Linked DNA regions of Notamacropus eugenii. The protein of the gene in region 2 binds, or shares a complex with, the protein of the main gene of each other region. Links are inferred from orthologs where the notes say so. Each region holds a gene or a part of one and is shown on either strand. Other genes may lie near its edges. The genes, in order: MED13, MED24, MED20 and MED12.

Region 1 (7,520 bases), about 17 Mb from region 2:
AAATGCTAATCATCACCCGAGCTTTCAGCAAGTCAGAATCTTTTTGCTAATGGAGGGTCTTGCCTTAATGTTGATGGCTGCTGACTGATCAGGGTGGTTGATGAAGGTTGGGGTGGTTATGGCAAGTTCTTAAAATAAGACAACAATGAAGTTTGCCTCATTGGTTGACTCTCTCATGTGCACAGTTAGAGGCCATTGTAGGGTTATTAATTGAACCAATTTCAATATTATTGTGTCTGAGGGAATAGGGAAGCCTGAGGAGAGAGATAGGCATGATAGGTCAGTGGAGCAGTCAGAACGTCCCCAACATTTATTAAGTTTATTGTCTTATATGAGTGGGGTTTGTGGTGCCCCCAAACAATTACAATAGTTACATCAAAGATCACTGATCCCAGTTCACCCTAACAGCTATAATAATAATTAAAAATTTGAAATATTCCTAGAATTGCCAAAATGTGACACAGAGACATGATGTGAGCTCATGGTATTGGAAAAAATGGGTGATAGACTTGCTTGATGCAGGGTTGCCACAAACCTTCAAATTCTTTTTTTTAATTCAGAATCTTCAAAGTTCCATAAAGTGAAAAACAAAAGGTGGAGGTATGCCTGTGCTTCATTTCCTAAGGACATTTTTATTGACTGCCCCCACTGCCTGGAATGTGCTTGCTCTCTCTCTGTCTCCGTCTGTCTGTCTCTCTGTCTCTGTCTCTGTCTCTCTCTCCATCTCTGTTTCCTACTTTCTCTGGCTTCCTTTAAGCACCAGTTAAATTCTCACCTACTAAAGGAAGCCTTTCCCAATCTCTCTTAACCCTAGTACCTGCCCTCTGTTGGTTACTTCCAGTTTATCCTGTATATAGCTTGTTTGCACATACGTGTTTGCCTATTGTCTCCCCCATTAGACTGTGAGTTCCTCAGGGACAAGGTCTGTCTCAGCCTTAACTGTGTTACAAGCTGTATTAGCCGAGTCACTTGACATCTCAACCTCAGTTTCCTCACCTGTGAAATGAGGATAATAATGGCACCTATGCATATCAAGTTATTGTGAAAATCCAAGAGATAACACATCTAGTGATTTGTAAACTTGAAAGCACTATATAAATGTTAGCTATTATTAGCCATGTAAAAGCAAAAGATAGAAAAAGAAAAGCTATTTTAAAAATTTCCAACCTTCCTTATGACCAAAAATATATATAAATCAAATGTTTCGGATTTTAGTGATGAAACCAGTTAGACTCACTCTCAGAAAGCAGAAACAGTTTGTGGCTAGACCAGATTTGAAATACATCGAACCCAGCTGAAACTTCAAGGGATTACAAACTGCTAACCCTACAGGGCCTTTAATAACCCAGGGTTACAGTCACAATCCTGGAGATGCAGCTTGGAGGTAGAGCTTCTGTGGAAGGTTAAGCATATATATAGTAATTCAATGTACTTGGAGAAAATGTTTCTTCCAAAGAATTCAAATAGGTTATTGAAACAATATAACCATTACGGAAGCTGTGGCCCAGTGGAAAGAGGTCTGGACCTGGAGCCAGGAGACATCTGGATTTGAATTCCACCTCTGACTTTTAGTATGAGTCTGAATTAATGAATTCACCTCAAAGGATTGGAATAGTTTTCAGAAGAAGAAAGTCAATTGATTAACAACCATATGAAACAAATGCTCCAGATATTTAAGTTCATAATAAAAAGAATAAAAATTTAATGACCTCAAAAATGCAAATTAAAACAACTCTGAGTTCTCACCTCACAGCCATCAGATTGGCAAAGATGATACAAGACAGAAATAGTTGGTGTTGGTGGAACTGTGAATTGGTCCAACCATTCTGGAAAACAAATTGGAACTAAGAGAAAAGTCCCTGAACTGCTCATTCCATTTGGCTCAGCAATCCCACTTCTGGGTCTATCCCTTGAGGAGGGCAATGACAGAAAACAAGGTCTCAAATAGAACAAAATACTCATAGCTGTACTCTTTGTGCTTGTAAAGGAAAAAAAAAACTGGAAGTAAGCATCCACTTTAATTGAATGAATAAACTGTAGTATATGAGTGTAAGATTATTGCACCAGTAAAAGAAAAAAAAATTAACAACCACCAAATTTGAGAAATTCAATGGAAAGACCTGCACGTGTTGATGCAGGGAGAAGAAAGAAACCAGAATCTAGAGAACAGTAGACAGACACAATGACTACATTTGCATAACATAAATGAAAACAACCCTAAAAAGCAGTTGATCTCAGATTAAATTCAATGAACAGTCTTGGTGCCTGAAAAAAAAGATGAAGAAACATATCCTTCTTCGTAGAGAGGTGGGGAAGGCAAGGTTCTCAACTGTCAACCTTAAGATGTGATTGCTGATGTAAAGCTCTTTGCAAGTCTTCAAGCATAATACAAAGGTGAACTACTATTATTCATCCCTTTGTTTGGCTTAACTGTTTTTCTTTTGTTAATCAATCGGCCAACAAGCATTTTTCAAATGCCTACAGTGTTTTGGGCTCTTTTTAGGTAGGCATTGTACTAACCACTGAAGATACAAGCACAAAAGGAATATAGTCTGTCCCTGAAAGAAGCTTGCATTCTGTTGGAAAACCAAGTGCCTGTATAAGTATATGAAAAATAAATACAAGATTTTTTTTTTTTGAAGGGGAAGGTACAAGTGGCTGGGTGAATCTGGAAAGGAAGGCTTCATGTGCCTGATAGTGCTTGAGCTAAGCTTTGAAACTAGGTATTCCAAGAGGTGCAGTTGCTAAGAGAATTCATTCCAGGCATGGGAAACAGCCTTTACAAAACCATGGAATTGACAGATGGAGTATCTGGAATAAGGAATTGCAAAAAACGAAAATTTGACTGGACCTTAGAGTGTGTGAAGGGGAATAATGTATGATGAACCTGAGAAAGTTATTGGGTGGGTGGCTGGGGGGGGGGGAAGGTTATGAAGGAGGAATTTGTATTTGCTCCTAGAAATAATAAGCAGTCACTTATTTCATTAACCATCGGGGAGGCACTATCAGACCTGTGTTACAAAGGACATTTAATAAGTATGAATGTGAGAGTAAATCAGGAAATGATTGTAATGTTAAAAAAAGAAACACTTCAAAGACAGTCTGGCATAGCACCAAATCCTTGTTTCTGACACTTAATAGTTGTGTGACTTGACTCCTCAGTCTTCATCTGTAAGATGCATTGGAGGTCCCTTCTCGTTATGATCCTATGATCAAATTTTTAAAAAAAAGTTACTAAAAGAAAGTTACTTCCTCTCTATGGCTCTCAGTTTCCCCATCTGTAAAATGGGTTTAATAATTATAGCGTTGCGGTAAGGAAAGCTATACAATTCCTAGTTACTATATTCCACCGATCGATTGCCTACATAGCGCAATAGACAACCTGCAACATTTTGTATACGAAATGAGTTACAAAGTTAACCTTACTCGGCTACTGTTGCCATTTTTCGCTTTTTCAGTTTTGTAACTTCCCAGGAAGGTGCCAGGCCGGCTAGAAGCGCACTTTCGGGCTCCGACCCAGGAGCACTTACTAGGCGGCGCTGTTTCAGCTGCCACCCGCTTCCCAGGCCGCCCCTAGCGGCGAGCAGCCGGGGCTCTCCGGCTTCCCGGCCCCTCAGTCCCTTGGTCCTTTCCTCTCTCTCTCCTCCTCCTCCTCCCCCCCTCCCCTGGAGCCTGGGCTCACGTGACCCCTCCGCGTCCAATGGGCAGGCAGAGAGGCCGAGCTGGTCCCTGCGGCCGCCATTAAAGCGAAGGGAAAACCCGTGAATTCGGATTAAAGGGGGAAAAACACCGCCCGCCGGGCCCACAAAATGGGGGAGACGACCGCGTCCAGGCGGTGAGGCCGCGGGGGGCGGTGGGGGGGGAGGAGCGGACGGGCAGGCCGGCCCGGCCCGGTCCGGGGGAGGGAGGGAGAGAAGCGAAACCACCAGCGAAGAATGGTCTCAGCCCGCGGACGCCGCCACCGCCGCCGCCGCCGCCACCACCGCCGCCGCTGCTGAGCAGACTCCGGGCTTGAGGACGTCGCTGGAGCCGCTGCCGGGCCGGGGTCGGGGCCGGAGTCGCGCCCGCCTGCCCTACCTGCCCTGCCCCTTCCCTGCCTCCCCGCCCGCCCTTCCCTGCGCCCCAGTCTGGGTCCGGGCGCTGCGGCCTCTGTTTAGGTTTTTAATTATTTATTCTGTAATTTATTATTAATTATTCATCTCTCCTCTCGTGCCGCGGGGGGCTGCGTGTGCGTGCCAGTGCGTGTGTGAGTGACTGAGTGCGAGTGAGCGTGTGAGAGCGAGCCCCCGTCGGCCTCGGCTGAGCCGGGGGGCGGCGGGTCCCCGGGGCCCGGCAGCGGAGGCGGCGGCGGCGGCAGGTCCCGTCCCCCTCGTCCCCGGGCGGGGCTCCTCTCCAGGCTCGGCCCGGCTGACCCCTCCGCCCCGGGGCCGCGGCCGGGGCAGCCGCCGGGAGTGGGTTAGAGAGGGCGGGCGGCTGGCCGGCCCCGCGGCGGCCTCCTCTTCCACCCCCCTTCCCCTGCTCCCTCGCCCGCCCGCCCGCTCGCCCGCCTCCCTCCCCGGCGTCTGTGTTTCTCTCACTGGTCGGAGGCGGCGGTAATGGCGGATGGTGGGTTGTGGCGCCGGCGGCGGCTGTGAGGGACGATGAGTTCCTGCTTCGTGCCGAACGGGGCCAGCCTAGAGGATTGTCACTGTAACCTCTTCTGCCTGGTGAGTGAGGGAGCGGGCGGGCGGGCGAGCGACGGCCGGAGGGAGGGAGGGAGCGAGGGAGTGCGTGCCCCCGTCCCGAGGGGCCCCGGCCCCGGCTTAGGCCCCGGCGGCCTGGGCTAGGCCCCCTCCCCGCCCGCTGCTGGCGGCCCCGGGCGCTGCCGGGCCCCCTCCCCCCTCCCCGACTCCAGCCCCCTCCCCGGCTCGTCTTGAGTCTTTCCCCCTGCCCAGAATCCCTCTCCCCAAACCCTCTTCCTCTCCTCCCTTGCCAGGCCCCGGACCGACCACCCCATTCTCCTGTTCAGCTGCTGCTTTCTCTCAGTGCCCATCACACTTTTCTAGGACTGGTCTGCCCTGGTCTCTTTCACTCCTTGCTCCCTTCGCCCCTTTAAATGAGCGGTCCTGCAGGGAACCCGACCCAGAACCCCAAGCAAAACCCCAATTTTACCAAGAAGACTTGTCCCCCCTCCTTTTTTTCCTCCTCTTAACTTGCTCACCTTTATAACTAGCAGAGAGCGCTCTGAAACATTTCAGGGATGCCATTTCATAGTTTTTTTTATTTTTAATTATTACTTTGAAAACAAAGTTTTTTCCTTCCATTTTTGACAATTTTCTAGTCATCTTGCTCTGACTGGAACATTGTGTTGTGTGTGAGTAGAGGGCAGTAGTGGAGGAGGTGCTGTAGTGTTGCTTCTGAATGTTTCTATATTTGTGTATATTTTGGTATGCATTTTAAAATATTTTGAGCAGACTGCTCCTTGTTTTAACTGGAGTGAGATGCTTGGGAAAGCTAGGCAGCTAAGGAGGAATGCATTGTGCCAGACTGACCAGGCCTGAAAACATCTCAACTGTTGCAAACTTTCTAGTTCTGAATCTGAAACTCTTAGCTTTTGTTTTTAAGTGACTAGTTTGACCTTTTTTGTTTGCCTGTCTGTAAGGAAAACATTAAAGGGATATCAGAGTCAGGAAAGTTAATTGAGGGGATGAGAGCACAACTAGTTGGCAAGTGTAAGCTGCCGGTCATGTATCAGCAGTTTCATTTTTGGCACCTCCAGCTTTGTACCTTGAAGTCAGACTGAAGACAAGTTGGAATACCAGCTGTTAATTTTCCTCCCCACAATCTTAAATTTTAAAGTATGGGGAAATATTTTCTTACAGTTGGGCTATGTTAGTCATCCTTTTTGAGCACACAGCTTTCTCTTAAAACTAGGTTTTATCTTCTGGTTTCTCCAACTTCAGTTTATCTTGTATTTTAATTTTTGTTGTTTTTTATGATGAGAGACTAGTACAGATCTGACAGTTCATTATAAACAAATAGTGAAGACTGCCTAAAACTCTTAGTGAAGAATTGGAAAGAGTTTGCTTCAGATGTCATTTTCATAAAATGTTAATAATTTTCAAATACGTAGTTACAAGATACTTTAAAAAAAAAAAACTCTCAAGGGGTTTGAAGGAGGTAATGCTGCATTGGCTGTGGAATAGTAAAGGAAGATTGGGACTGGGTTTAGATCCAGTCTGATATATGCTGTCTATGTAACCTTTGGCAAATCACTTATTCTCCTTGAACCTCAGTTTCCTTATCTGTAAAGTGAAGCAGACTGGGTTAGACAGTCTCTGAAGTCTCTTCAAATTCTGTACCTTCCAATCCTGTGACACTTCTTACCCTTGAGGCTTTTTCCCCAACATTTTTGACTTTATAGGCAGCCAGTATAAATTAGAATATTCATCGAAGAAACATGAGTGACTTCTGATTGCAAGACATCCAGAGATTACAAAAATAAATAAGACATGGCCCCTGTCCTTGAGGAGTCAAATACAGCAGAAATGAGTTGTTCTCTAAATACGTTAAATATTATGACATGAAGTATAAGTTGCATAATTCTTCTTCTTAGGTCTTATACCTCAAAGCTTTCATTGGAAAAGCATGACAATCTCTTTAAGAAACTTTAAAGGACACTTATTTTGGCTCTGTATGAATGTAAGATAATGTAATCACACTTTTTTTGTTTTTTTAACTGTAGGCTGACTTGACAGGAATTAAATGGAAACGATATGTATGGCAAGGCCCAACTTCTGCCCCAATTCTGTTTCCGGTGACCGAAGAAGACCCCATTTTGAGCAGTTTTAGTCGCTGCCTTAAGGCAGATGTACTTGGTGTTTGGCGGCGAGATCAGAGACCTGGAAGAAGAGAATTGTGGATATTTTGGTGGGGTGAGGACCCCAACTTTGCTGACCTTATTCACCATGACTTAGCAGGTGAGAGTAATTTTCATACATTTGTAACATAAGAGAGCATTATGAACCTTTTGGGGGCTGTATTAATGATGCAGATTTTCTTAAATAACACTAAAAAAAGTTATATCTTGAAAAAAGGGTAAGTTATCATGGATGAAACCAGAATAAACTAAATTTTGATATGATTCCAATTCCCTGTGAATATTGATCCTCCTGTGCTTGGTTTGTTTTTTACATTGTAGATTTTCTGTGGCAAATTGTAGAATCTTGAATGTCTTTCTCCCATCACTAATCCCTGTAGGCTTTTGCATCCCTGCTATTAGTTTATTTCCTACCCAGCAAATACATAGTAACATTAACCTAAACAATTCAATTCAGAATGTAAATCTGGTACAGGACTTCATTGAATGTATTCTCGGGACCAATATAAATGACTTGAATTTTATCTTCCATTGCTGTTTTCTAGTAGTGAAAATAACCACTATTTTATAACTAGCATTTCAGGCTTCTAACTTATGATGCTTTTACCTAGGCTTAAAATAATTGAGAGGCAACGTGGTATAGGTATTCATTATGAACACA
Region 2 (7,661 bases):
TTCTATTCTTGGAGGTGAGGCCTGTTAATGTAGCAAGTATTTATTAACCCTTCACTTACTGGGCACATGTTCAGTCTTTCTCCCTAGCCACAAAACTAATATGCCTTAGGCAACAACTTCTATGCAGACTCTGTCCACTTTCCTTACCCCAAAAAAGTCTTCTTTTCCACCCAACCTGCCTTCAGGGGCAACAATGGAGTACATCCGGTGAAACACCTGTGCTTTTTGGCCAGGTGAATTCTTGGCTTCAAATCTATCCCCTTTGCCCTTGGAGCTGCCTGGCACCTAAGCCCCTCCCAGTCAAGAAAGTGGCAGGCAGCACACATTTGATGTTGGGCATGTCCAGTCTTCCCACCAGGGAGAGATCAGCTCTCCACCTCTTGCCTTGGCATTGGAAGGCTGCAGGCATTTAAGAGTCAAGTCCATGAGCATTGTGAATGGCCAATACTATCCAGGCCATGGAACTCTATCAATGCTTCCCTGATCTCCACCTCCAAACAGACTGGCAGCTCTAAGAAGTAGGATGTGCCCCCCCCCCACTCCTCTCCAGAGTTTCCTGTTTCCACTGGGGGGGGGGCAGCAGCTCTTCCTGGTTCCCCTCAACTGTCTCATGCCTCACCTGGAGTGGGTGGAGCTGGCAACTTGGTAACAGGGGCAGGAGTAGGGGGGAAGGGAGGTGATGCATCCATCACCATGGCAACAGAAAGGGGGGAAGATGTCACCTAGCTAGATGGACAGGTTGAGTCCCAAACCTTCATGGTCCACCTGATTGGTTCCCCTTCACCTACTTGGTACCATTGTTTCCCAACCTCTTCCAATAGTATTCCTGGGTTCAGGGAGATATCCTTGGTTTTGGGACAGAAAATGAGTCTTCAACACAAACACACCCTTCCTCAACTATGCTCTTGATGTCAAGTTGGGTAGCAGTGGGAACCTGCCCCTTGACCCAACTCCCAACCCCACAAGTACAACAGAACTGGACAAATTAAGCCACGGATAGAGATGCCAATAATTAACCCAGCCCACCCTGCCGACTCACTGTCAAGGGGGAGGGTGGGGAAGAGGAATCTCCATTCTGAAGTCCCTTTTCTCTAGGGAATGGGGGGGATGGAGGGAAGAGGATAGTCAGGGGGCCTTATCCTCAAGCCAGAAACTCTTCTCCACAAGTCTCCAGGTTGCAAAACTTGTTTGCCTTCCCTAACCCCCAAACCCCCCCCCCCCCACCTCTGTGGGGGAGGGGTCTGAGTCAGGGTTAGGAGAAAGAGACAGAAAATCTGCACAACAGATCTGTCCACATTTCCTCCATTCAGGGATATTCCAGAGGGAAGCCTGTCTCAACCTCACTCTATCCTTTCCTTCATCCATCCAACTTTTCCCAGCTCCTCCAGCCCTCTCCCCAAGACAGTCAGGCACATGGTCCCTTTCCTCAGCTAGTTCTATCCCTGACCAGGCTGGGCAATGTGGAATCAATATCATTTTGATCAATGATCCTATGCTACCTCCTCCAGGTAAGCCAGTGAATGAGGGAAGCCCAGGGCAAATGGAGGTAGCTACCCAGGTGTCTATCCTAGCCATCACACACTGACACCAGAGGGACAGGGGAGGAAGAACAAAGGGGAGGGGCCAGTCAAATCAGGCTCCAGGATTCTCCTCCTTCCTTTTCCCTTCACTTCACAAAATCCTCTGAGAGCTTGGGAGGGGAGGGTTAGCCATTTCTATCATACACCACCCTTGGTCAGTGCCACAGGCACTAAGGCACCACAATGGGCCTTAAATGTCTCTACATTCATGAAAGACAAGGGTACTCTCAGAGATGTGTTGTGGCAAAGTATATGGATGGCATAAAGTATGGATGGCTGGACTTTGGGGGGACATGGCAAAGCTGGAGATGAGGGAACAATCAGATGTGGGGGGAGAAGGGCAGAAAGAAATCAGGGCTAGTTCCAGAATCTGGCTCCCCAAGGCAAGTTCAGGGTCAATCTCAATAAAATAAGGAGTTTTAAGAGCCTGGAATAAATCCCAATGGGAGTGATATTCCAGTGTCAGTGGCCTAGCTCCTAACCCTTTCCCTGGAGTGCTAATTCCCATAGACGTTAGGATGGGGTGGGGTATAGGAGACACCAATACTCTTACCTACTAAGCTTTAGAATTGAATAGGGAGCCCTGGAAAGCCAAAAAGACAGGAATCCTCATTGACATTAGGAAACCCCAATAGTTCCTAGAGCTCCCCTTATTTAGGTCCTGTATCTAGGCTTAGCTTAGCCAGGTAGAGAGGCCTGGTTGAACAGAAGCACCCTTCCCCACCCCCATTCCCCAAACCCTGGTGGCCACAGCTGTGCTTTTCTCTTGGTAAGGAAATCCAGGATGTCCTGAGAAGCCAGCAGAGCCCCTTCCACCCCCCACCCCCACCCCAACCTCCTGCTGACCCCTGGGGAGGCAGCAGGGAAAAGCTCACTATTAGCAACCAGAGAAATATGAAGGATGTCCTAGCTAGTCCCTAGCTCTAGGACAGAAGATTATAATGCTGAGACATGCAAAGACTGGGAGACACTCAAAAGAAAGTGACAGGAGAAAAGAAATATAGAGCTTAAAAGAGAAAGAGACCAGACAGAGAGATAAACAGATAAAAGGACAAAAACACACATAAAAACACAGCAATTTGAACAGAAGGACAGAAGGTAACATCTAAACGGATAGTAAAAAAACATCTAGTTGAGGTTATGGGGAGGCTTTGGGGTAAGCAGGAAAGATTCAGGCAAATGAGTTCCCCAAGACACTTTTAGGGTGGGGAAGTGGGAGGCAGAGAGTTAAGTCTGATTCCCCTAAAGACAACCTTGCTGCCCCCAGTTGTCAAGGCAGCTTAGGCAGGGTTATTGTCTGGGGCTATTGTCTCAGTCCTCAGAAACCCCTTACCTCCCCTCTCTCACGAAAATTTCTCTTCCTAATCTCCTTTAAAATTGTCCATGCCCTTAGAGGAGGGAGACACAGGAAAAAGCATGAGACAGAGAAAGAATGTGTGCATTTGTGTCTGTGAATGCCTGCATGTGTGACACAGTAAATCTGCTACTCTTATCATTCAATCAACAAATACTTACAGAGCAGCTATTATACAGGAAACATTGGGATAAATGCTGTTGGGTATAAATGGGTACAAAATAATACTATCCTTGCCCTAAAGGGATTTACAATCTAAATACAGAGTTGTTCTTAACCTTTTTCAGTGTCATGGAACCCTTTGTCAACCTGGTGATGCTTATCCACCCTTCTCAGAATGTTGTTTTTAAATGTATAAGATTATAAAAAGAAACTATCTATATTGAAATAAGCTTCTAAAAAAAACAAAACAAAAAAAATATGGCCCATAGGTTAAGAATCCTTGGAGTAAGAGAGTATGTATATTACTATATATGTGCATTTGTCTGACATAGCTTTTATTCTTGGGGGCAATCTTCTCTCCTCAGTTACAATGTAAACTCCTTGAGGAGAGGGCCTGTCTTTTGCCTCTTTTTGTATCCTTTTCGATTAGCAGAGTGCCTGGCACCTGGGAAGCAATTAATAAATATTTATAGATTGATTAAACTCCTTGAAGGCAAGAATGTATCTATTCTTGGTATCTCTCTCAATGAAAAGCAAGGCAGTGGTGCCTGGACACTAGGTCCTCCATAAATACAGTATCTGTTTGTCGGTTGTGACTGCACCTGGGACTATGTATAGCGATGTCTGTGTATAGGAGTCTGTATGTGGGTATGTGCCCGTGTCTGTCTGCCTGTCCTTGGGTCCCCCTGTGGGTGTGTCCATCTCAGCGTGTGCACTTGCTCACGAGTGTTCGGTCTTCCTGGCCCAGTGTGGGTGTGTCTATCACCCTCCTGTCCTTGACGCCCCGCGTCCCCGTGTCAGCGCCTATCCCGGTGTGTCTGGCTTTCACCGCCTCCCCCTACCCTTCACCTCCCGGACAAGCCCCCCTTCCTCCTCCCGTCAGCCAGCTTCTGCCAGGTCAGGGCTCCCGGAGTACTACCAACCGCGCCTCGCTCCTCCTCCCTCACCCTCCCTTCAAACTCTGACCCCGCCACCCCTTAGGCCTTTTCCCCATCCAGAAGAGGGGGAAACCCCATCTGCCAGGGGCTCGAGGGACACGTTGCAAGCCCCTCAGCTCCCTCCCTGTTGGTCTCGCACTTCCCCAAGTGGCCTGGAGCATGCAACTCTCCGGGCGCTTCCCGGGGACCCCGGAGTTCTCCTACCAACTCCTCTTTTTTCTTCCCCCAGCCGCGTTTTTGCATTTGGGAGTGTTGCAACTGGAGGGCCATGCAGCCCCATGTGAAGGGGCTGGGGCGGTCCTCGAGCCCCGGGGAGGCTGCAACCCCCCCCCCCCCCCACTCCCGCCGGAGGAAGCTTTGCAAAAGCAGCTCGGCCCCGGCAGTCGGGAGGGCGGAGGGTGGGGGGAGAAACAGGCCGCCCGAACCGTAAACAAACCGCGGCGGCGGCGGCGGCTGGCGGGGGAACAGGGGCCGCCTGGCAGCCGGGGCCGCGGCTCCGACAATGCGTAGCAGACGGGACCGGGAGAGGCCGGGGACCCGCGGGGCGGCGGAGGCGGGGTGTGGGGGGCGAGGCCCGGACGCCATCTGCCCCTGCAGCACCACCGCCCCCCTCCTGGCCACCAACCCGCTGCAACCGTCCCGTCCCCCTCCCCCGCCAGCCGAGTCCTCCATTTACTCCGGGGAGTTGGTAAGTTGCAAGCACCCCAGCACTGACAGTGTCACCCAGGGGCTGGCTGTGCAGGCAGCGGGTCCCCAGGGACGCCCCCAGCCGGGACTAGGACCCCAGCCAGCGAGCGTCCGGTGGCTTTGCATAATCAATCGCAATGTATTTGCATATTAATACCCCCTCCCCCTCCCCCTTACCTCGGCGTGGCGGGCTGGGCTGTGCGTGGGGAGGGGTGGCGGGTGGCTCAGCGCCGGGGCCCGGGGGTGGCCATGGGGGACCGGTGGGGCCGGGGCCGCCCGCCTCCTGTCCCCGGGTGTGAGTGCGAGTGAGAGAGGGGGAGGGGGGCAAGTGTGGCGGCCCCGCGGCTCCTCCGGCAGAGGCGGCGGCCGTGCTAGCTCCTCCCTCCCCCGCCCCGCTCCGCTCGGGCTCGGGCTCGGGCTCGGGCTCGGGCTCCAGGCTCCGCGCCGCCCGGGCCTGGCTCACTGCTGCTCCCTGCAGGCCGAGCCTAGCAGCCCGGCGGCCTCCCCTCCCAGCCCGGGCCATCCCGGCCAGGTCGGCTGTGCCGAGCCCGGCCCGGCCCCGCCCCTATCTCCTCTCACCTTCTTCATCTTACTCGGACCGAGTGCGCTATGCCCTCAGTCCATTCACGCCTGGCGGGTCCCCCCTCGCCCCATCCTATCCCACGCCGGCTCACTCACAAGTGCCCATCCCTGCCGGATCGCTCCCTCGGGAATCGCTCGCTTCTCGCTAATTTGCTCTCTGACGCTCGCTCCCACCCGACGCTTCTCCCGGTCCCACTCTGAGCCCTCCTTCTTTCGCTAGGCTCCCTCCTGGAGGCCACTTCTTGTCCCCAGCCATGTTTCTGAAGACCCTCCGCAGCCCAGGAGGGAGGATGCCGTCGGTTAGTCAGTCCACAAGCATTGGCTCAGGGAGTACTATGAAGCCAGGCACTGTGCTCGGCTCTGGTGATGTAGAGAAAAGTAAAAACACGGCCCCTTTGGTCAAAAGGAAGAGACCTGGAAAGGACTATGTACCTGCAGGATACATGCAGAGGTCTCTCCCGTCCTGCTCTTATATCTCATCGTGATGCTGGGAGAATTTTGATTTTTTTTTTTCAACGGGGTGGAGAACCGAACTGGAATCCAGAACCTAGAACCCAGAATCCTTTGTGTATATGCAAATTGTAGGAGTCATCCAAAAAGAGACCTCTCCAATGTGTCAGGTCCCCCACCCCCACCCCACCCCACACACCTTCCTATGCATACACATACAGCTGTATTCATGGACATTAAACCAACCCAGAGACGCCAAAGCCCTTTTCATCTTGGGATCTTCCAGGTTGGGCAAAGCTCTAATTACCCCAGCCCCCCACTCTGGCCCTGCCGGTTCCCCTGCTGTCATTAGCCCAGTTTTACCAGCGGAGGCCATTGCCTTCCCACGGGCTCCCCAGGGTGGGGCCCCTCTTCCCCTGCTCCCTTCTCATGAGGAGGTGGGGATGAAGTTTGGTCGATCACATTTGGAAAATTTGTCTGACTAACAACAGCCTGAGTTGATTAGATTGTCCAAACCTCTCCTTTTTAGAGGTAATTCTCTCATGGTAGGTCGTCCCTGGGGGCTTGTCTTCCAAGAAGGTTTGCCCTTCAGATCTCTCATGGGATCAAGAGGAGGAAGAGGAGACACTCTTTGGAATGCAGTGATCATAACATCACAGTTTCAGAGCTGGAAATGGTCTCTGAGATCATCTAGACCAACCCTTTGTAGAAACTACTCTGGACTTACATCTTCATTTTACTGATGAGGAAAGTGAGGTCAAGAGAGTTCAAGTGACTTGCCCAAGATCACACAGAGAGTCAGGATCTTAAACTGAGGTCATCTGATGACAAATCTATAGCTTTTTCTTATTCTTCTTATTCAACCCGCTGCCTCTCATAGTGAGGATGGGAGAGATTTCACCATCTTAGCTTAATAGTGAATATGGATTTTCCTATCCCTCCATCTTCCCTTGTACTGTGAGGTGTGTTTGTCCTCCATTGCCGCAGAAGACCATGCCATCAGAGAAATAATGACCTGACTTGCACTTGACTTTGTTTTGAGTGAGGGAGGGCTGTGCAGGTCACTAGCCTTACTTCTCCTCCAGAACTATCTGAATCCAGTGACCAGATATTCATCAGGATCACTAGAGATGACCCAGGATGAGGCAATTGGGGTTAAGTGACTTGCTCAAGGTCACACAGCTAATGAGTGTCAAGTGTGTGAGGTGAGATTAGAACTCAGCTCCTCCTGACTCCTGCACTGGTGCTTTATCCACTGCACCACCTAGCTGCCCCTGTACTCTGAGGTGGTGGAAAGGAAGAGAAGGGAGAAGGGAATAGGAGACTATAGTATATTAAGGATAGGAGAGACAGGAAAAGGAACCTGAGAAAGGGTGGTCTAAGGAACAGCCTGTTCTCTGGCTATTGTTGACAAAAGCTGTATCCAAACACCTCCTCTTTCCCTCTTTCTGTTATTATGGTGTACCCCCACAATTTCTCCCTCTCCTATTCCCCTATCAATAGGGATTCTAGATAGTTATCTCCCTAAGAAGACCTCTGCCTAAGAGCCAACACCTCATACAACTCCATGCCCCTGTAATCATTTCATATCCTAGTGACAGGTGGGGGATACTGGCCATCAACTAGCCAGTTGTGGAAATAAGCTCTCTGTCTCCCCCACCCCCAGCACTCCCCTAGCCTAAAGAGAGTTGGTACCAGCAGATGAAATGTGAAGGAAACTCTCCAAGCTGTCTTGGCATTACCTCACTGCTTGACAGACCTCTGAGCACTGGGGAGGAGGAAAAGGAGAGCAGGGGAAACTGAGGTACAGATGGTTGATGAAATCAGGAATATAGGTATTTTTCTTATCAGGAATATTTATTTTTCAGAAAGGAGATTGGTTATTGGGATCCTAGGAAAAGGAAAGAA
Region 3 (7,296 bases), about 250 Mb from region 2:
CATCAGGAAAGGCACATCTTAAATCAGTATCAAAGTACCTAAGTGCTTTCTGTTTGCTGCATACTGTGCTACCTGATGCGGGGGAAGGAATGGATGATGTTTTAGTCAAACACCTGCCTTGTGGCACTTATAAACAAGCTAAACACATGTGAGACAGTAATAATACCAGAAAATGATTAAGTGCCCATATATTTTTAAAGTAGCAAAGAACTTGAAACTAAAGGGGTGCCCATGCACTGGGGAAATGGCTAAACATGGATGGAACATGAATGTAATGGAGTACCATTGTGCCCTATGAAATGAGTAAAGGGATAGTTTCAGGGAAACCTGGAAAGATATATAAACTAATGCAGAGTAAAATGAGCAGAGGAAATGTGTTGTGTTTTGAAGCGAAGAGGTTAAATTAAGGAAGAAGTGATTCCAAGCACAGGGAACAGCCAATGCAAAGGTATGGAAATTGGAAACAGTGGGAGGAAAAGCAAGAATGTCAATTCCTGGATGGCCCATAGGGTAGATTAAAAGCTTTATATGCCAGAGGAGTTTATATGTAATCCTACAGGCAAGAGGGAGTCAGTTGAGTTTACTGAGTATGGGAGTTACCTAAAGCTTGTATTTTAGGAAAACATTTTGGCACCTGTGTGGAGGGTAAACAGGAATAGGGAGTCTTTGAGACAGGGAAACCAATTAAGAGGTTATTAGGTGAAAGGTGATGAAGACCTGAACTAGAGTATCTGATATCTATATAGAAAGAAGGGGAGGGATATGAGAGATGTGGATGTAGAAATGACAAAATGTGGGGACTGAATGGATATGTGAGTGAAGGAGTTTAGGAGGTCAATGATGTGAAACTGGATGAATGGAAGTCAGAAAAAGAGAGATTAAGAAGAGAACTTGATTTTAAGACAAAGATAATGAACTCTGTATGTACTATATTGAGTGTGAGATGCTTATGGGATGGCCACTTTGAAATACCTAATATGCAGTTAGAAATGTGAGACTGAAGTTCAGGATATAGACTGGAGTCAGATAAAGAGATTTAGGAGTCATTTGTGTACCTGGCACATAGTAAATGTATAAAAATGCTTTGTCTGCTCTATAGAGATATTTTCACTTTATTTCAGCTAACGCTTAAGTGAACAGGCACAGGTAATTTTGATCACAAAATTTGATCATAGTCAGGATATAGTCTTGGGGTACACTAGGGATGTACTGGAGCCAGCCCCAACTATTCTTGGGACTGTTAGATTTTCAATGTAAGGATTTATACCTTGGAAAATGGCAAATGCTACTAATGAGAGCTTGATTTACTTTTTTGCTGATTATTTAGATTTAAGATATGAAGAAAACTTAATTATGAAGATTAAGCTTAAAAGCATGTGGAAGAGCTGATTGTTAAACATTTACCAGCATACTACTGGGGTATAACTACAGTTAAGTAGTGTGATTATGGATTATAAACCAGCAAAGGAGTCAGAGAAGTAGGAGAAGCAAGAGAACAAACTGTCTGAAAACCTAAAGAAGAGAGACTATCCAGGAGGAGAGGGTGGTCAGTAGTAGTAGTAAAAGCAGCAGAGAGGTCTGGGCTGAAAAGTGAGAAAAGGATAACTAAACAATAGATGTAAACAAACAAATAAAAATGCTATGTTTGACACTTTTCCCTTATCAGATGTCCTCTAAGATCCTATGCAGGTGCAAAATTCTGAGAAGTCTACTGAGATGGAAAGGAAAATGAATGAACATCATTGTTTGGGTTCCCTCTCCCTCTCATGGCCTATGCGCCTCCATGCCTGAGTCACCAGTTAATGATCATTTATTAAGTGTCATCTATGTGTTAGACTATGTGCTAAGCACTAGGTATACAAAGGCAAAAACATTAGACACTTCCAAGGAACTCAATCTAATGGGAAGACAACAGGAAGGCTTTAGGGGGAATTGGGAAAAGCTTCTTGCAGAAGGTGGGATTTTCAGTTGAAACCTGAAGGAAGCTGAGGAAGCCAGGAGGGCAGAGGTGAGGGAGAAAATTATAGGCAAGGGGGAGAGTCAATGAAAAGATGAGTAGAGATATGGAGTGTCTTGGTCAAGGAACAGCAAGAAGACCAGAATCCTTGGATGGTAGAGTATGTGGAAGACAGTAAAATATTAAAAGACTGCAAAGGTAGGAAGGGGTCAGGTTATGAAAGGCTTTAAAAGCTGAATAGGATTTATATTTGATCCTGGAGATAAAAGACCCACTGAAGTTTACTAAATGCACAATTACATGATGAGATCTGAACTTTAGGAAGAACAGTTTGACACCTCTGGTGGAGGACGGACTGACCTGGGGAGTGACTTGGTTACACAATAGACAAGGATGAGGTGATAAGGGTCTGTACCAGGAGGGTAGTAGTGTCAAGAGGAAAAAAGGGAACATACAGAAGTTTCTACAAAGATGGAATCCACAGGACCTGCCAACTGACTGGAAATAGTGGGATGAGAAAGAATGAAGAGAGTACAGTATGACTCTTAGGTTCCTGACAGTAATAGAAAAGTTAGGGTTTTAGAGGAAAGCTAACAAGTTCTGGTTTGGATATAATGACTTTGAGGAGTCTATGGGATATACCAACCAAGATGTCTAATAGTCAGTTGGAGATGGATAAAAAACTCTATAAGAATCATATGTATGATAAGAGACTATAATTGAATCAACAGAGACTGATGAGATCACCAAATAAAGTAATAGAGAAGAATAAGACAGAACAGTTCAGGGTTTTTGGGCACACTCACAAATAGATGGCTTCACCTGGATGAATGTCCAGCAAAGGAGACAGCAAAAGAACTGTCAGGCAGAAAAGAACCAGGACAGGGGTGGGAAACCTGCGGCGTCGAAGCCACATGTGACCCTCTAGGTCCTCAAGTGCAGCCCTTTGACTGAATCCAAACTTCACAGAATAAATCCCTTTAATAAAAAGATCTGCTCTGTAAAACTTGGACTGAGTCAAAACGCCACACCCAAGGACCTAGAAGCCTAGAAGCCGCAGGTTCCCCAACCCTGAACCAGGACATAATCAAGACAGTAGTGTCACAAAACCCCATAGAAAATAGAGTATTAGGAAGAAGAGGGAGGTCGACCCAGTGTCAAAAGCTGTAGAGATTTGCAAAGTAAGAAATAACTGGTACCTTGGAGGGATCAGGGCCCGTAGAATGATGAGATCAGAAGGCAGATTGCAAAGAATTGAATGAGAGGAAGGTTAATTGGAAGTTAGCACCTATTGTAAACAGACTGCTCAAATTCTGCAGAAGAGAGGGAGTCAGATATAGTCGGATGGAGGGGGGGATGGAAGGCTCAAGTGGGGGTTTTTTGAGGATAAGGGAGACGCGTGCATGTTTGTAGGCAGTAAGAAAGCAGCTAGTATACAGGGAGAGGTGGAAGATTAGCGAGTGTGCTTTCAAGGTAACTAACCCACAAGTTTCCCTGAAGCTCCGCCTTCAGTTTCTCGGCTCCTCCCCCTCCCCTATTTCCCGCAGGACCCTTTCGACCCCCTCACTAACCCAGCCGCGTGGTGGGCTTTCTCGGCGCTGTCTGGTCACCCGAGCCATGTTCAGCTTCTAGCTCCTCCTGCTGCTCTCGCGCCTGCTGTAGGATCCGCCGGGTCAGCCGGGGCCCCACGTACTCTTCTTCTTCCTCCGTCCCGCGGCCTCGGTCCCTCCGTTTCTCCCGGCTTCCGGGCCGTACGGAGTCCCCTGCCAGGATCTGGTCCGCCAGAGGGGCATGCTTTGCCTGCCCTCCGGCCTTACGGGACGACTTGATCTTGGGCATGGTCTCCACCACCCCTTCCTCTGAAACACACGTGGGGAACTGGCAGGAATATGGACTGCGCCGGCGCCAAGCAGCGCGTCATTCTCTGCACCTCCCAGATTTAGAAGACAAGCTCCATTGGCGGAACACAGCGCCTCCCAGCGATCGGAGGCCGGAAACTCAGCTTCCGGTGCCCCCCCTACCGGCCCCGCCCCCTGAAGTTAGACGTCACCAGGCCCCTCCCGGGGCCCCCGCCGTACGACGGCTCGCGTTATGTGAATTGGACTCGTAGTTGCCCACTGTAGCTGTAGCCCTGGTTTGGATTTGTTCTGTCTTCCAGAGATGAGTATTTAGGTCGCGAGTCAATTCCTAGAAACCTCCCGCCTTACTCTAGGGTGGGGAAAGTGGGCGGAGCTCCTAGTCGGGGTGATCGCCCAAGTCCTGGCAACTCCGCGGCTGGTGCTCTCTTTGAGACGCTTTATTTATACGTCACTTCCGAGGCCCGACTTAATGCATCACTTCCGGATTCCTCTTTTTCCTCCTCCCCTCCCCCTTCTCTCTCCCCTACAGTCTTTCCGTCCACCTCCCACCAAGGCCTGGAAGTGGGGCTTCCTGCGGGAGAGCGGAGGGAGAGGCGAGGCCGCGGCGTCGGATTCCTCCAACGTACACACTCCCGTGCGACCTGGAAGCATGGGGGTGACATGGTAGGGCCGCGAATGTTGCACGTGGAGGGGGGAGGTCTCAGAGTTCCTTGGGCACCCGGGCCGGACCGCGAGGGAGTACGGAGAAGGCGCTGCGTCCCCGCAGAGGCCTCCTCCCGACCCTTCTCCTTTCCCGGTCTTGTTGGGATGAGTGGGTGGGGGCGGGATGCCTGGGCTCGGGTGTGAGTCAGGCCCTTCCATCTACCAGCTCTCAACCCGTCCCCGCTTTGGGGGCGCTGCAGGCCTGGTGGGGGTGTGGGTGTGTTGGGGGGAAGTTTACGCTTGGGTTTTGTAGGTTTTTTTTTTTAATTGTAGGTTTTTAGAGATTCTGGGAGACTTTAAGGCAGTTCCCTGTTCTTAGGGGAAGGCGAAGGGCGGGAGGAAGCCCTGGAGGTCACTGAGTGGCAGGCTTCAGCTTCTCCTCTTCCTTCGCCCGACCTCCAGCCCGAGACACCCCGCAGTAGAGCTGGACCAGGGGGACGGGATCTCCTGCCTGACCAGAGTTTGATCACCATCCTCCCGGGATGGCGGGAGGGAGCATTATCCCTGGCACTGAAAGGGGGAGAAAGGAGCCAGCTTCTGAAGGCTGTTGGGCCCGGCTTGGAAAACCCATCATGTTGAAGAGGGAGAAGGAGAAACAGTGCCCTGGTGGTCTGCTTTTCACATCTGGGGCTGAGGGGTCATTGTCAACCCTATCTTTCCTTTGTATCCCTCTAGCGCTTAGCACAGTAACTCACACGTAGTGCTTAGTAAATGCTTCTTGACCGAAGAAGGTATCAGATAAGGGCACAACTTTTTGGTGCCACATCTGAGAGCTTGTGAAGACCTTTCCTTTCTAGAGTTATTTTTGGCACTTGCAAGTTACTGACTGCCAGCTAGTAGTCCCCAGAGTTCAATCAGTAATCTCTTTCTGAGACTTGGCATGGTGAGGGGAAAGGTGTATGACAGCAAAGGGAACTAGGTAAAAAGCAGAAAACGAGAAACATCTGCTGCATTGGGAGAATGATATGCTTAGTGTGATCCCTAGGATATCCTTATCTTTCTTTTTCTGGAGAATTCTCATTTGGGCCAAAGCCACACACAGACTGCCTGTAGTGTTTTGCTTCTCGCATATGAGCAGTGGCATCTCCCAGCAGGGATGGGACTCTGGCTGGGATGGGATCTGGGGCTACCAGCTTCCTTTGCTGAATGAGAAGCTGGGGGAGCCTGTTCACATCTATGTGGACCCTGAAGGCTCATCACTACCCTTCTAGTGTGTCCCAGATGCCTGTGGCTGAGGGTAAGAGTGTCCAGCAGACCGTGGAGATCCTGACCAGGAAGTTGGAACTGCTAGGGGCAGAGAAGCAGGGGACATTCTGCGTGGACTGTGAGACCTACCACACAGCGGCCTCTACCATGGGCAGCCAAGGTCAGTGTGTGGTAAGTAGGACAGCTGGAACCTTGCTCAGACTTAGTAGATTCTCCAGATGCTAATGTCCTTAGACATCTTTCTGGCTGAGACAGTTTTCTGCTCAAGGCTATTCATTAGTATTTCTGAACTCCTGACGCTCAGTTGTAAGAGTTTTGGTGTTTTTTTTCAGTCTAAAGGTTGAGAACCAAGAGGAAATCTTTCTACACTTTTTGTTTGTTTGTTTCCTGTCTTGGAACTCCCTATACTATCACTCTGGCCACTTCCTTTGCCATTCACTGAGGCTCAATATACTGTCCACTCTGTGGGAAGGAAACTCTGTACCAATGGTTTGAATTAAAATGCAAAAGTAGAAATGATGAAAAGACCCACACACTAGGAATAGGGGGTGTGGGACCTTAAATTGTAGTCCTTTCTGTACTACTTACTTGCTTTGTGAGCTTAGACAAATCTTTTGTCTGTTCCATCAGCTGTATATTGGGAATTACAGTTTAAAAGGTTGTTTTGGAGATAAAATGAGATATGAAAGTGCTTTGAAAAGTGTTAAGTGGTATACACATGTAAAAGGATATTTAGAAAAGATAATCTTCACAATTGAACTAGAGAGGCAAAACCTAGATACTTACTTAAAATATTTTTAAAGCTTATTTTTTTATCTCTTTTTATATTGCCTTCATTTTGAATTATAACCTTACCCACTCTCCTCTGCCCAGCAAGCTATCTCTTGTGAAAAAAAGAAAATTTTTAAGAATGTTGGAGGGAAACAGTTCAGCAAAAGAACTGTCACTAATCGTTTTATATAGTCCATGCCCACAGTCTCCTACTTATACATAGAGGAGAGGAAGCTATGTTTGGGGGCCAAGCTTGGTTACTGTAATTTACATAGCATTTAGTTTCATGTTTTTTATTTTCGTCTTGGTCTTTTTGTTTACATTGTTAACTTTGTGTATATTTTGCCTATTTGTCTGAGGATGAGAGGGAAGTGAAAATGAATTCCTAGTTCTCTCTATCAGTTCCAACTCTTTCCATGCTTCTCTGAATTCTTGATATTTCTCATTTCTTAGAGTGTAATAATCTGTTACATTCATGTACCCTAGTTTGTCCATTGGTGTCTGTTTTCTTATTCTTTGCTATTCCAAAAAATTCTGTTATGAATATTTTAGGGTATAATATGAGACTTTCCATTTTGGACCTCCTTGTGGTATAGGCTTATCTGTAGGGTCTCTTGACCAAGAGGTATGGACATTTTTTAGCACCCACACCTTTTTTGCATAATTCTCAATTGTTTTCCAGAAATTGAGTAACTCACAGTTCTGCCAATATAGTATTAGTATCCAGGTCTTTCTGAAGCCCCTCCAACATTGATCTTTCCCATCTTTTGGCATCTTGACCTATTTGCTGGGTATGAGGTG
Region 4 (7,321 bases), on a different chromosome or scaffold from region 2:
TCTAGGAGACCAGCCAATCAAAAAGGCCAGTTACCAGGGATGTCTTTTCAAGACCAGGCCAAACATGACAGGCTCCTGCCCAGCACCAGTCCCGCCAGCTCCAGTGTGGAAGATAGGAAGTTGAACAGGAGGGAGTCTCCTTCCTTACTTGCCCCAACCCTCCCCTTGACCCCCCAACATATTCCTTTGGCTTGGGATCCTGGGATGCCAGCTCTGGGCTGCAGGCCCTGACTTCCAACCCTCGTGAGACACTCATCATGGTCATGACCCAGAGCTTGCCCCAAAGCCTGGCCATGGCTCAGCACTCACCTGAAGGATGCAGCTGAGCCCAAACACCAGAGGTCGATGCTGAGGACACTGGAGCAATTCACCAAAGGGTGTGGAGGATTGGCTGCCAGCTGGTGGCTGAGGAGCAGGGGTTGGGGGCAATGTGCCACTGGACTGAGTGGCAAGCACGTGGGGAGGGTGGCTGCTCACACCATCCAGCTGCAGGGCCAGTCTCCGAGTACAGAAATAGGCAAGACGTCGAGAGAGGTATGCAGACTGGACAAATTCCCCTGAGTACTGTGGAGTAGACATGGCACTCAGAATCTCCAGTCAGTCTGGCCCCTTGCAGTCCCACAAAGCTCAGGCTTTAGGGTCTTACCCGAAGCAGCAAGGGCAGCAGGAGTTTGAGTAGCTCATCCTCTCCAGGCCGGATTTTCTCAAAACACTCTAGGACCCAAGTCAGGAACTCATGTCTGTCTAGCATCCCATCCTGAAAGTGCAAGGGTACGAGGAAAACCAGAGAAGAGAGAACAGCATAGAGGGAGCCAGGTTAGGATCTTGAGGGAATTGCAGCAGGTACCAAGTGAAATGGCTCCTTATTGAGCTCAGCTTGGTGCCCTGCACACTTAGCCTCCCCCAACCCCTCCCATTTCCTGCTACCTGGAACATGAACATGGCCAGTTTCTCATTGTAGTCCCACTGTCGAAGAGCCACCTCCACCTCATGGGGAAGGGACCCCGAGGCTGAAACACAGCTCCCAGGCCCCGGCCGGTAGAACTCTGCCATCTTCTGCAGCTGCTCCCACAGATACTTGGTGATAATCTGGGTCCACTCTGGAAGTGGGATGGAGAATGGGATATCAGGAGGTGGGGCAGAGGGGGGAGCGGCCCTAAGGGGTGGGAGATGCCCGTGCTCTGCCTTTGGTTTACTCACCCATGAAAGGGTCGATGACGTGCTTCTTCTTAACCTTGGTCTCTGTGATCGCTGCGTAGTAGGCACAAGTCATCTTGATGAGCCAGGCAGCCCTCATCACTGGCACTGCGTACTTAGCCAAATAGGCAAATACCTCTTCTTTCTTCCCAAAAATGGGCACCTACATGTGGATGCCAGAGGGATTCTGAGGATCCCAAAGCCACTTCCATGGGACCCACTCCCAAGTCATGTGAATTGAGTCCCATTGGCCTTGGGGCTAGCTACCAAACTGGTGGCTATCTCTCCCCGTGAGGCCTTACATACAAAAAGAATGGGCATATCAGAGGAGAGAGCACTAAGAAAGGTGGCACCCAGAAGGTGGCACATAGCTCTGAAGGACACTAGAAATTCTACAAAGTGGAGGTGAGGAGGGAGCACCTTCAGGCCTGGGGAACTGACTGACTGCATAAAAGGGCAGGGAGGCAGGAGACAGGTCGATGAGTGGGAAATATGATGGAATGTGCCAGTCTGGTGGCAACAAAGAGGATGAGAGCGGAAGCTGAAGTCAGCCTGGGACAAGCTGGAAATAGCAAGGGGGAAAGAGCTGGCAGCTGGGAGCCAAGAGTGCTCTCTCCCCCCACAGCCTGTAGGCCCCAGGAAGCAACGCCTCACCTTTTTGGCTAAGTGTGTGAGTGGCTTGGTGCCAGCCAAGTCCGTGAACCAGGCATGGATGGCACTCTGGGAACGTGCGGTGACCAGCCAAAAGTTATCCTTCTGATTCACCTGGGGCTTTCGGCGCCCGGTGTCCGGTAGGGTATTACAGCGAAGCTTCTCTGCGATGATGCTGCTGAAGTTGGAGCTGATCTGAGGGGGGAGGGAGAAAAGGGAGAGGGCAATCGCCAAGTGGTCCTGCCAGAGGGCCAAGCTGAAGCTGCCCCAGCCAGCCCCCTTGGCACATGGGATAGCAGGGGTCCTCCAGTGCAGCCCATTTCTTGCAGGGGCCAGAGCTACCCCCCCCCCCCAACCCTCCAGCTCTAGGCCACTTTGCCCCTCCCTTCTTTGGAAGCCAGTGAGAACGACTGGCTAAGGAAACTCTGGTGGGGAGGCTAGTTGAGGAAGCGTCGTCGCCCCCCTCTCCGGTCCCCCGCCCCAGCTCGCCTTGGCCGGGTTGAAGTTGACGTTCTTAGCGCTGCCGTGCTCATCCCCGGACACTGCGGGCTGGTTGTTGAAGCCCTGCTTGACGTTCAGGGCAGTCAGCTCGTCCTGAGGGACAGGGGGGAGGGGACCCTTGAGCCATCGGCGCTTGGGCCTCAGCGGGGGGGGGGGGGGGTGGGGGGGGGCCACGCTGACAGTTGGTGACAGTGAGCCGCCGGCCGGCCGCCCGTCCCCAACTCTCCAGGGGGAGGGGGACCCGACCTGCCAACTTTGGCGGGGAGCCGCGGGCGGGGCCCTCGGCATCCTCCGGGGCTGGAGGAGTCGGGACAGCGACCGCGCGCGCCCACCCCCCCCACCCCGGGTCCAGATCGCCGGTGGGTCCCCTGCCCCCTCCTCCCCCCTCCTCCCCCCTCCCCCCTCCTGCCCCCTCCCCCCTCCTCCCCCTCCCTCCTCCACCCGGCCGGGCCGCGCCGCGCGCACCTCCTTCTGCTTGGGGTCCTGAGGGTAGACATCGGGCGGGCCCAGCCGCGGCCGCTTCAGCGGCCGGTGCTCGTAGCTCAGGATGCCGAAGGCCGCCATCTTGGCCGGCAGCCCCAAGCCGCGGCAGCGCCGGCTGGGCCCGGCCGGGAGTGAGGAAAGCGAGCGAGAGACGACTGAGGGCCGAGAGCGGAAGGGGGCGGGGGTAGGGGCGGGGGTAGGGGCGGGCGGGGGCGGGGTCGGGCCCAGGCCCGCGGCGGGGGCGGGGCGGGGGCGGGGCCAGCGCTCGGGGGCGGGGCCGGAAACTGGCGAGCGGCGGGGGCCGGCCAGGCCAGGGCAAGGAGAGAGCCCAGCCCGGGAGCTCCGAGCCATGTGCCGCTGGCAGGCTGCCCGCCGCCTGCCTCCGCCCATCTGGGCCCCTTTCCCTCTCTCTGTTCCTTCGTACTTCCAGCCTCCACCCATCTGCCCATCCTAGGGCACCTGCCCTCAGCCGCTCGCGGGCCTCCGGAGCCTCCTCAGTTTTTTCCTCTGTCTACTACGGCCCAGGGTGGAGGGAAGGGGCGAGCATCTCCGAAGCCGAAGTGTGTGCCCAGTGCTTACTTCGCTTAACCCGAGAGCCCCGAAGGGATCCCCACTGACGCTGTCACCTCCTACCACAGGGTCCCCATTGTCTAAAGATCCAAGGACCTCAGAGGTCACGTCGGGCACCGCCTCATTTTACGTATGCTCTTTTCCACTTCTTTCTATTTGAGGAACCTTTAGAAAGTCCCTGCTGTGCCCAGAGTGCCCCACCTCCCCTCAGTGTTCCTACCTCGCGCGAGATACGGAAATGGAGCAAGACGTAGTCACTGCGTTCAAAGAGTTTATGATTTAGTAGGAACTGGGGATGGATAGAGAAGTATGTGTGACAAGTTAGGAAATGGTTGACCAGAAGTCCAACAGAATATTCAACATAAATGTTGGGCGGAATGACAGAAGAGCTGCCTGGAGGGAGGCTCCCGGCTAGCTAGCTCAAAAAAAGCCTTCGATTGCTCCAGCAATCCCGACGCGCACCCCAAACTAGGCGCAGTGGCCTGCATTTAGCCAAACATCTACGCGGGTTCAGCTCTCCCGGGGGCGGGGAGAGCGACGAAGCCAATCCCAGCAGCCCCGGGCTCCGCAGCTGCGCTCCGGGAGGTAACATTCACCGGATACCAGCCAATTACAAACTACCTCCAAAGCTTGTACAAAGTAATTCAGTGGCGCTGCAGTGCATAGAGCGCAAGGCCTGGAGTCAGGAAGACCTAACTTCAAATTCAGCTTCAAACCCTTACTTACTAGCGGTGTCATTTCAACCTCTGTCTTCTTCAGTTTCCTCAACTATAAAATGGGGATAGCTAGTAACAACTCCTACCTCCCAGGGTTGTGGTGAGGATGAGTGAGATCATATTTGGAAAACTCTGAGCACAGAGTAAGCTCTATATAAAGGGGAACTGGAATTTTGCTGGGGAGATCAAGAAAAGAGCCCAGGGCCCAGCTGGTCCGAGCTCTCAAGGGGCTTGGAGGCTGATTCCAAAAGGCAATTGGGGGGGGGGGGGTGAGGGGAGAGACTGACTGCCTGGCCAAAGACACAGAGAAGGGCGCTGGAATGTCCTGCGTGACTGTCTAGGTCAGATGTTTTCAATATGTTGGTGAGTTTGACTGGTGTCCCTCTTCGTCCCCCCCCCCCCCTTTATCTTTTGTAATCTTTGATATAAGTGTCTTTAGGAGAGAGAAAGGGCGTGGGGATGGTGTACATAATGCATTAAGGATCAGTACTTCACATATATTATCTCATTGGTTCCCCACAGTCACCCCAGGAGGTGAATGTATCTTTTGTAGAAACAAAATATATATCATTAACAATTTAAATAAATCAAAAGAATGTCACGTGTGAGCAAAAGCAGGTGAGCCAGGTCTCCTGGGCCCTGTGAGCGTAGGAAGTGTGGGCTCGGAGGACTCGACCTTTGTCTAGAAAAGCAGGTAGGAGGCAAAGAAACAATCAGCCAGCCAATCAAACAATGCGCAGTATTCAACCGCTCTGTGCCCAGCAGGGTGCCAAGCACTGGGAATAATACAAAGGAGGCCAAAAGCAATGTTTGCCCCCAAGGAACTCCCAGCTCCAGCTAAAGCCTCGGAAGGGAAGGAAAGGGCTTTCAAAGCCACCCTGAGCCGGGGCCTAGAGGCAATAGAGACCTCCCAGCAGAACTTGGGAGAAAGGGAGGCACCTGCTTAGGCCTAGGCTTTCAGCCAGAAACAACTTTCCTGACTTTGGGGAGGATGGCTGGGAGTGAGGAGGGAACAGAGCCTGGGGGCAGGGAAAGCTTGAGAGAAGGTGGGGCCCGTGGGGACTCAGGCTCCACAAGACTTGTCCACTAGTTATAAAGGGGGTGGAAAGAGTGGAGGGGAATACAGAAGAGTTGCTGAAGACCCCAAGGTTTGGAGCCCAGGTGACTGAAAGGATAATAGTACCCTCATAACAACAGCTAACATTTATAGAGCAGTCTGGGCTGCTAGGTGGCTCAGTGGATAGAGCGCTGGGCCTGGAGTCAGGAAGACCTATGTTCAAATGTGGCCTCTGACACTTACTAGCTGTGTGACCCTGGCCAAGTCACTAAACCCTGTTTGCCTCAGTTTCTTCATCTGTAATATGAGCTAGAGAGAATATAGCAACCCAGTCCAATATCTTTGCCAAGAAAACCCCAAAAGAGCTCAAAAAGAGCCGTACGCAATTGAAACGACTAAGTACAACGATATATAGCACTCTTAAGGTTTACAAAGTGCTCTACAGCTATAATTTAATTTGATCTTCACAAAAACCTTGCAAATTAGTATTATCTCCATTTTACAGATGAGAAATATGAGGCAAACAGGAGTTGTTACTTGCCAGGGTCACTCAGCTAGTAAGTGACTGGCCGCATTTTGGACTCAGGATCTTCCTGATTCCAGGTCTAGCACTCTGTGCACTGTGGCGCCCTCTAGTTGCCTCAGCAGTAATAGTGTGGGCTTCATAGAGGGAATAGCCCCGGAGCTGAACCTCTAAATCTGGGAGACACGACTAGAGTCTAGATTTGTGACTTCATTGTTATGGGGGAAACTTTCAGGTGAGGAAATTTCCCCTACCTATGCAGGTCAGCACCTTCTCTTCAACTTCTAGTCTTAAATCGAGTAGCCTGGGGTCACTGGGAGATTAAGTGACTTGTCCAGAGTCACACAACCTGTATGTATCAGAAGCAGTGGGATTGAAATCCAAGTCTTCTGGTTTCAGGGCCAGCTCTTGAATCTGGAAAGCAGCTTGGCAGAAACTAGGTTAAAGACCAACATCTCACACCATATACCAAGATGAGGTTTTAAAAAAAAACAATATCAGAAGCAAATTAAGGGATCGTGGAAGATTTTACCTGTCAGATCTATGGATAAGGGAAGAATTTATTACTAAACGAGATAGAAGGGATCATCAGAAGTAAATGGATAATTTTTATTACATGAAATTTAAAATTTTTTGCAAAAACAGAATTAATGCTGCCAAGATTAGAAAAAAAAGGCAGGAGACTGGGGAGGGGGGCGGTTTACAGCAAGTTTCTCTGATAAAGGTCTCATTTCTCAAATATATAGGGATCTGAGTCAAATCTGCAAAAATATGAGCCATTCTCCATTTGATAAATGGTCAAAGGATATGAACAGGCAGTTTTCAGGAGAAGAAATCAAAGTGATATATGTGTGTGTGTGTGTGCGTGTGATATGAAAAAATGCTCAAAATCACTACTGATTAGAGAAATGAAAATTAAGACAACTGAGGTACCACCTCACATCTATCAGATTGGCTAATATGACAGAAGTGGCAGCTAGGTGGCAAAGTAGATAGGGCACTGGGCTTGGAATTGGAAAAACTCAACTTCATGAGTTCTAATGTGGCTTCAGACACTTACTAGCTGTCACTTTACCCTGTTTGCCTCAGTTTCCTCATCTGTAAAATGAGCTAAAGAAGGAAATGAAAAACCACTCCAGTATCTTTGCCAAGAAAACCCCAAAAGGAGTCACAAAGAGTAGGGCATGACTGAAATAATTCAACAAACAAAACATGATGGAAAAGGAAACTGACAAATCCAGGAGGAGATCTAAAAAAAGTGTTGGTGCTGTAATACACTGTTAGTGGACTTGTGAACTGGTCCAATCACTCTGGAGAACAGTTTGGAACCATACTCAAAGGGCTATAAAACTGCATAATCTCGGACCCAGCAATACCACTACTAGGTCTGTATCCCAAAGAGATCAAAGAAAAGGGGAAAGGACCTATTAAGTACAAAAATAATTAGAGCAGTTCTTTTAGTGGTGACAACGAATTGGAAATTGAGAGGATGCCCATCCATTGGGGAAATGGCTGAACAAGTTGTGGTATATGATTGTGAAGGAATACTACTGTGCTGTAAGAAATGATAAGAAAAACCTGGGAACACTCATTTGAGCTGATACAAAGTAAGGTGAACAGACC

What was found.
Region 1: MED24 (region 2) and MED13 share a complex: the UniProt entries of both Homo sapiens proteins name them as parts of the mediator complex. The link is inferred for Notamacropus eugenii from reciprocal best matches to the Homo sapiens genes MED24 and MED13.
Region 3: MED24 (region 2) and MED20 share a complex: the UniProt entries of both Homo sapiens proteins name them as parts of the mediator complex. The link is inferred for Notamacropus eugenii from reciprocal best matches to the Homo sapiens genes MED24 and MED20.
Region 4: MED24 (region 2) and MED12 share a complex: the UniProt entries of both Homo sapiens proteins name them as parts of the mediator complex. The link is inferred for Notamacropus eugenii from reciprocal best matches to the Homo sapiens genes MED24 and MED12.

The regions. Positions count from the first base shown.
Region 1 is NC_092873.1:373,002,807-373,010,326, forward strand, and holds the start of MED13 (mediator of RNA polymerase II transcription subunit 13), read left to right. Parts: upstream 1-4,512; 5' UTR 4,513-4,640; coding exon 4,641-4,706; intron 4,707-6,724; coding exon 6,725-6,959; intron 6,960-7,520. UniProt on the Homo sapiens protein: Component of the Mediator complex, a coactivator involved in the regulated transcription of nearly all RNA polymerase II-dependent genes.
Region 2 is NC_092873.1:355,633,859-355,641,519, reverse strand, and holds the start of MED24 (mediator of RNA polymerase II transcription subunit 24), read left to right. Parts: upstream 1-4,658; 5' UTR 4,659-4,722; intron 4,723-4,898; exon of another isoform or gene 4,899-5,150; intron 5,151-7,621; exon of another isoform or gene 7,622-7,661. UniProt on the Homo sapiens protein: Component of the Mediator complex, a coactivator involved in the regulated transcription of nearly all RNA polymerase II-dependent genes.
Region 3 is NC_092873.1:102,946,497-102,953,792, reverse strand, and holds the start of MED20 (mediator of RNA polymerase II transcription subunit 20), read left to right. Parts: upstream 1-4,277; 5' UTR 4,278-4,285; coding exon 4,286-4,479; intron 4,480-4,920; exon of another isoform or gene 4,921-5,000; coding exon of another isoform or gene 5,001-5,155; intron 5,156-5,729; coding exon 5,730-5,884; intron 5,885-7,296. Other genes in the region: BYSL (bystin), read right to left, coding at 3,529-3,796. UniProt on the Homo sapiens protein: Component of the Mediator complex, a coactivator involved in the regulated transcription of nearly all RNA polymerase II-dependent genes.
Region 4 is NC_092879.1:100,125,987-100,133,307, forward strand, and holds the start of MED12 (mediator of RNA polymerase II transcription subunit 12), read right to left. Parts: upstream 3,004-7,321; 5' UTR 2,914-3,003; coding exon 2,815-2,913; intron 2,443-2,814; coding exon 2,338-2,442; intron 2,044-2,337; coding exon 1,852-2,043; intron 1,361-1,851; coding exon 1,201-1,360; intron 1,101-1,200; coding exon 928-1,100; intron 758-927; coding exon 647-757; intron 565-646; coding exon 310-564; intron 2-309; coding exon 1-1. UniProt on the Homo sapiens protein: Component of the Mediator complex, a coactivator involved in the regulated transcription of nearly all RNA polymerase II-dependent genes.